Linked DNA regions of Drosophila melanogaster. The protein of the gene in region 1 interacts with the protein of each later gene in a pairwise test. Each region holds a gene or a part of one and is shown on either strand. Other genes may lie near its edges.

Evidence for each region.
Region 2: the proteins of Cnep1r1 (region 1) and CG32588 interact in a two-hybrid assay, tested with the Drosophila melanogaster proteins (one large-scale study listed by BioGRID).

What each region holds. Positions count from the first base shown.
Region 1 is NC_004354.4:22,943,304-22,947,153, forward strand, and holds Cnep1r1 (CTD nuclear envelope phosphatase 1 regulatory subunit 1), read left to right. Parts: upstream 1-2,017; 5' UTR 2,018-2,181; coding exon 2,182-2,553; 3' UTR 2,554-2,705; intron 2,706-2,767; 3' UTR 2,768-3,036; downstream 3,037-3,850.
Region 2 is NC_004354.4:15,205,180-15,208,840, reverse strand, and holds CG32588 (uncharacterized protein), read left to right. Parts: upstream 1-2,204; 5' UTR 2,205-2,285; coding exon 2,286-2,447; intron 2,448-2,522; coding exon 2,523-2,672; intron 2,673-2,750; coding exon 2,751-2,951; 3' UTR 2,952-3,034; downstream 3,035-3,661.

The DNA.
Region 1 (3,850 bases):
AAAAAAAAAACACGACTGTTCGCTTTGAAGTTAGGATATTGATATTTAACTTTCCTCCAATATACACTAGTCCGCATAAGTATTTGGACAAAATAAACGCTGCACATTTGTCAGTGAAACTTTTAAATGGTTTGATATGGTAGTATTGATTATTTTGTATTTTTTTGTGTTTTTAATTAAACTTAAAAAGTTATAAACAACTTAATGAAACATGATAATTTTTTGTTTGGCATTATATTTTGACAAACTCATTTAGTAAATGGTGTTCTGCTTTTGAGCACGTGTTAATCAACAATTGTTTAAATTGAACTTTTTTGGATATTGAACTTTAATAAAAAACAAAAAATTAATTGATAGCCATGGGTAAAAAGGCTAAGTTAAGTTTATTTATTAGATCAATGGTTGCACAGTTTAACGTTGGAATTAAAGTAAAAAACATTGCAAATGAGTTTAATGTGTCGCGACAAGCTGTGTATTATCAAATTAAAAAGTTTAAGAAACATAATGACTTAAACCTAAACAAGAACAGGCCGTTGCAACGCAGTGGAATCTGACCTCCAGCCTTCCGAAAAGTGAACGTAAGGCAATCAGTGAGTGGACATTTCGTCGACGTTTAAAGGAACAGGACACTGCTAATCAGGTATATTTTTAAAAATTAACTAGCTTAAAAGGCTGAAATTTGCAAAGGAATTGGCTTTCTTTATGTCAAAGCAAACGAAGATATTAGTAAGTGGCTAGTCATTAGTAACTTCTAGGAGAACAGGTAAATAATCTGAACTGAGAGTGTTTATTACTCGCGGAGTTATAAGATATTGTGGGCGATTTGTTAGGAAAAAGTTTAGAGTACATGGTTGACCGTGCTTTCCTGCAGGCATATAGGTGTGGTCAAGGGGATACAGTATTTAAAAGTTGTTGCTGTCAACTTTGGATTTTAGCAGGTTACCCCACGAGTTTGCCCGGCGACATCCCCAAGACTGGTGTCGGCAATTTAGGTCACCTCCTACAATATAAGGCACATTTGCGCTGCTTAATTGGCGAATGTCGGACAAAAAGAGTTGATTTTTCTGAGGATTTACTTGACCTCATGGAAAGTAACAAGACTAAATAAATGTCTGAGTGCCAACTATATTAAAAATATTTACGCCAATAGGTAGCAGGAAATGGCGAATACTTGTTTATATACATGTATATTGCAACCCCTCCCCCTCTTTTGACTGTTCGATCGTTTCAATAACAGCTATAGTTGCGTATTTTAACGTGTTGTAAGATGTTTTTAACCAGGTTTCAGAAACTAGGCAAATGTCAACATTATTACTATATAGAAATTGAGAAATTGATAGTCAGAAACGCTTCCTTTTGCCTGTTACATACTTTCAACGAATCTAGTATATCCTTTTTCTTTACGAGTAACGGGTATAAAATGGTTAGAATTCCGTCGTGCAATGCAATGTATTTCTATGTTTTTGAAAAACATTCCAAGCCAAATTATATGCACTCGCGTGATGGCTCTATAAAAATAAAATTTTTCAATGTGAAACACTCAATCAAATCAACAATCTTAGGCATAACTAGAATCTGCAGGATTAATCTTAACTTTGTAGCTTTTATAGTTCCCAAAATTTCGACGTTCATACGGACGGAGAGAGTTACAACAAAGACACTACAATAACAAAATGCGTAACGCCATACGATTTTTTTTTTGGCGTGGCTCTAGAGGTGGCTCCAGGGTCTCTCGAATTTTTGTTCAAGAGCGAGAGAGCGGAAAGCTGTACAGCGAACGTTTCATTTCTACGCATACATTCTAGTTTCTTTGTTTACTACTATGGTGATCTAAACGAAATATAACAATATAAACATTTATTTTAAATGTGGTGGGATAATGCATTACATTATAGGCAAAATAGTGGATATTTTACAATCTCAATGTATGTACTTTTTACAAGGAAGTAAAAGTGAAAGCATAGAAACCATCACAGCACTCGTTTCTTGAAAATCATATCATTATTACTTTGTCTTTTTTTTCAAACAGATTTCGTCTTTACCGAAAAAAATTATTATCGTGTCAGTAAAAATTCTGCAAATGATGCGGCCTTGCTGCTGTTCGTAAAATAGTAATTAACGGGGCAATCAGCATTGCAGCGCCCAGGGGACCGCATTAGAGTCAACTCCTTTAGCAACAGAATGGAGGACACAGATCAGGAAGACCTGCTGGCTTTCGAGCGTCGGCTGGCTGAGGTGGTAAACACTGAGAAACGGAGTTCACTCCGCTGGCGCTTTGTTCTGGGCGCCATCTTCGCCTGCTCGGCGATCAGTGCCTGTCATTGGGTTCGGGATGCCAAGGAAAGCGAGTCGGTGGTTTTCCAAATCCTGTCCAGTCAAAGCGCCTTTGCCTTCTCCCTGGCAACCATATGCCTGCTAATCTTTTATGGATTCAATCACGCCACTAAGCAGGACCCCAGTATCCTGCGTGACACCCAAGAAATGCTGTCTCCGTTCCGCCTTAACATTGATAACCAGGGACGTCTCATCCTACTTCCACGGCAGACAGAGTAGCTGAATATATGTATATCCCCAAAAACACATTTTTATTGACGGCGTTCCAGTGGAATAAATGATCCAGTCAATAAATGATCCAGCTAGTCAAATAAATGATCCTCAAAAATGGAAATGGACTAGGTATTGCACACCATGACAAATTTCGCGAGGTGACTTCTTGAAACTAATTGTTTTTTATTTACTTTTGAAACGTTATAAATTTTATTTCTAGTTAATTAGCGCTTAGACTAGCGACGACAACAATACAAAAAAGTTCGCTGACAATAATGCTTAGCGATCAAGAAGCGAAGAGTGGACTTAAAAACATGCATTGCATAGAAATGACCGAGATAGAGGGCTGTTAGTGCTGCGGCCTTAAATTATAAAAGGCTACAGAATTCGATTTTGCTGTTATGAAATCAAAAGGAGTTGGCTGCTGTCGACACAACAAAAGTGGGCATAAGTATTTAGACAATAAATACATTCAATATATTTGTTTATAACTCATTGTTTACTTAATGGGAAATTGTTTAATAATTTTCGTATATATGTAGAATATACATATACATATATATGTATTTATATGTATATGTATATGTATATATGTAGTAAAATAATCATATGGATTATTTAAATGTCATAAATTTAAAAGAAAAAAATCAACAAAAAAATTATAACAAATTAATAAAAAATATACCCTCTCTTAGCGTCTATCAACTTTTGGAGACGTTTTGGTACAGAGTGTACCAAACTGTGGTTATAATCTATTGAAATATACTTCCATAAGGCTTGAATTTCCAAAATCGTTTCTTCGCGACTCCTAGATATGTTTGCACGCCTTTTCTTTATACATATATGACCAGAGGTTTTCTATTATGTTGAGGTCTGGACCTTGAAATGGCCAACCCAATGTGTTTACGTTAACATTTTTCAGAAACTGCGTAATTAGCTTGGCTGGAGTATATAGGACTCCCCAAAAAATTTATCACCAGAGGGGAATGCATGATGCTGCGCAAATGGGATACATTATGGAAAATCACTAAAGCATTACTGTTTTTTTTGAAATAATTGAAGTGGCCGGTTTGGACCACCCAAATACGCCACTCCCCTTCCCGTAAAGAGAACCCTATACTTATACTTGGGCTGGGACTGATGGATATAGTATGGGAAATGGAGTTTCTTCTATTTCTTTTTGTTGTGTTTTGATTTGAATTTTTTCTTATTTTAAGTTTCGCATACAGCATCATAAATGGCTTAAGTGGTACATATCTTAAATATAAGTACAACAAAATTAGTGCAATTATTACAATGATCA
Region 2 (3,661 bases), 7.7 Mb from region 1:
GGAACCGAACCAGTGATATCTAGCCATTGTGGGTTAAGGATTCACGATGCTCGGTATGCTCGGGATGGCAAGGATGTTGGCCTGGTTGAGACATCGTTTCGGCAACAAAAGCCAACAAAAGGCAACAATTCTTACCCACTAATAAAGAATAATATGACTGCCATAAAACTCAATTTATTACCAAAATGTCGACAAGCAGCAGACTTTTGTGCGTATATGTGCCACTGTGTCTTATTCGCTTTCTCCTTTCTTATTTTGTGTGTGTGTGTGTGCGAGAGTTACGACCTACGGAGAAAGGAGGTGAAAGCAGAACGAATGACGTACGGAAGTGGCAAACAGCAAAAGTTTATGCTGCCATTTTTGTTTGGCAATTTTCTATTTCTATTTCAATTCCAAGGCGTCGTTTTATTTGCATTTGGTGTGAGAAATGTGTGCGCGACTTGCGACCCTAACTTGCCCTCTTACTTTATCGGCGATACCCTGTAATATCGAGTGATGTTATTTTCGGTTTTAACTGTTTTAGCATTAGTTTAATTAAATATAATACACATATTGTATAGTATTTGCAGTGTATGTGTAAATGTGTATAAGCAATGCAAAAGTATAAACATATTCATAAAACAAGGAAATTTAAATTGTGTTGAATTTAGTATAGTGTTTACATTTTGATTGCAATGACTGTGAAGCACATATATGTACATATGTACACAATACCTGTTCATCCAACAACTTAATTAAAAAAAAGTAATACTCCAAGTTAATAATTATTATTTTTTTATTTTACTTAACCCTTAGGGTAAGTCACGTGTTGTTCCACCGAATTTCTTTGTACCATCGTTATTCTTGGCTTTTAACGTAATTCTTCTGCAGGACTCCCTAGCTCCTTTCCTTGTCTTCTTCTTCCTTTCCTGCACTCGTTCCATTTTCATCCTTGCTGTGCAATTTTATTTGCTATTTCGGTTTTGTGCTCCGCCATTCCATGTTGCTGCTTGTCTTTATTATTATTTTGTTTCTACAGTTGGCGATTTGTTGCTTTTTGTGTTGGTCGTTGGACGTTGGCATTGTTGGATGTATTGTTGGCCATCTCTGAATTTTGTTGGCCAGCTGTTGGGCGCACTTCACCCGGCCGCTTTGTGGCCACAATTTGGCGGAGTCCTTGAAAGGAGGAGGTGAATGGTGAAGACAATCCTCGCTCTGGACGCCGCTAAATAACCGTTTGGCTGAGCTAATCCACGGCCACATTGTCCATTGTCTGGGAAAGATAAGCGGCCATTGGACGTTTGGTAGGACAGTGGGACACCAACAGCAGATGGTGTGGCACCGGGACTCGGACAAAAGGGGAATCGTTGCCAGGACCAGGACATAGATAAGGCCATACCGCTCTACCCAGATTTCTGCAATAATAAATTTATAAAAATATCTATAAGCTGCCCCCAAATGTAAAACAACATACAAGTTTTGTTCTTTTATTAGTCTTGGGCATGGTTTACACCGCGTATACGTAATGTGAGTAACACTGAGCTTTGAACATTTGTCATAAGCCACGTAGTCCGAACAATCTACCAGCCAAGTCAATCGTTTCTTTCAGATATCTGCTTATTGAACAATTTCTTTTCCCCAGACATCCAGGCAAATGCCAACTGCAATGTTCTGGAACATTTGCGGTTGTCCTAATGGAACCATTACGTCCCAGATATACATTAAGTAGGATGGTGAATGAAATGGAAAACCTTTTATGTTACATTAAATTTGACTGCGTGCCGAGTGACAGTGTGGTAAATGGGTAAATGGGGTAAAGGGTCGGGCTCTGTGTCTCCGTGTCTCTAGGACTCCAAGACTCCGTTTCTGTGTCCTGGCTGGCGGGCTTGTCAAAGTTGTCGCAACATTGTGGCGCTGTCAGTGTCATTGTCGCTGCAAATTATGGCGGCCTGAATGCGTAAATGATGCTTAATTAACATTTACCCAGATTCCAGCCATGCGAAAGCCATGGAATGTCGACGGCGCGGTGTGTGTGCGGTGTGTGTGCTGTGTAGAGTGTGGTATGGTGTGTGGAAGACCCGGCCAGAAATTGCCAGTTATTCGCATTTTCAAGACAAAAATAAGCTACCAAGAAGAAGGCCAAGTGTCCTTGCACAGCCAGCGGGAGTAGTTGGCCATGATTTAATGCCCAAATCGTTTTCGATTTTCATTCATTGCCTTTCAGTCAGTCATCCCCTTTGACTTGAACGAAGCACCTATTTATACATTCTTTTATAAATTTGGAAAATTTATTTGTACATTTCGGCATGACATTCTTCGAGCAGATCAGTGATCACTTTTGCCGCGTTGTGCACACCAATCTCAAGATACCTCTATCATGTTGCGAAAGGCGCATCAACTGGAAAATCTCGAAAAGTATCGATTTATTGGTATTCTTTTATACCCTCAACATCGGTGTCCTTCGATTGGTGAGTAAATGGTAGCCCTTTATTTAATGGTGGGCAGCAAGTAAAGGACTAATTGCACCTAACCAAAATTCGTAGTTAATAAATTTTATAGATTTCATGATCGTTTTCTTCGGATGGCCAAGCAATCTTTTGATTTTAAAGGACTTCAATTCGCGGCGCTTTCGAGCCCTCACACACTTTTTACTGGTGAGAGCGTACATGCTAATGATATACTCCATTGTATTTGTAAGTACAAAGATTTACAATATGTACACACTTATTGTACCATTGTAATAAATTACTGCAACCATTGTTTAAATCCAGATCACTCCGCATAAGAATAATATCTTCGTTCCGCTTTTTGCCATCATCATGACCATCGATGTGTATGTCATTAAATTAGATATGAAGCGACGTGGATTGATGCCTCTGGAGCGCAGTGTGCCCCCCCTATGGGAAATATTGATCAGCTTGTGCTGTGTTGTTGCCGGGCAATGGCTGCTCAAGTATTTGATCTTTCATTAGCGTACGGATTTCATTGTAATGTTTTGTTCGCCTTATAATTGCTTTTTTTCTGAAATATACATTGAATACATTGTCACTCCTCTAATGCTGCATTCTCAATTCTTCACGCGAATGTCTGTGGACTCCTTGCGATGACTGTATAGTCTCGATTTGACAAATGTTTTCATTTTAATTTAATTTTGCTGGCGACAACTTTTTAATTGCCAAGTGGCGAAAAGGGCACACATTCGCGATAAGTGTTACTCTTTTGTTGGCAAGTGTAAAAGTTGTGAATAAAATTACACAAAGTCAGTCAAAAAGTGGTTAGTATTGGCAATTAGGATGTAAAAACTATGCCTTTTTTTAACGGTTTGGCCATTTTTTTAATCTTGAAAGCCATGGAATGTGGAGGGTGCGTTGTACTCGCGTTTTCAAGCCAAAAATAAGCAACCAAGAAGGAGGCCAAGTGGAGGAGCGGGCAGGAAGAAGCTGACAAAGTGGGCCGAAAAGGTGAACCGGAGCACATTGCGAACGGAAAGATTGTAACAAAGCCACAAATGGATGCTACACGGCGAAAAAAGTCGACGAAATTGATTAGAGATTTGAAGAAGAAAGATTTGGCAAATTCAACAGTATTTTTGGGTAACATTGGTAGCTATAAAACTAAAAATTAAAATGTATGTAAACATATATAAATATAATAATGATGTGATATAGAACTTATTTCTTTA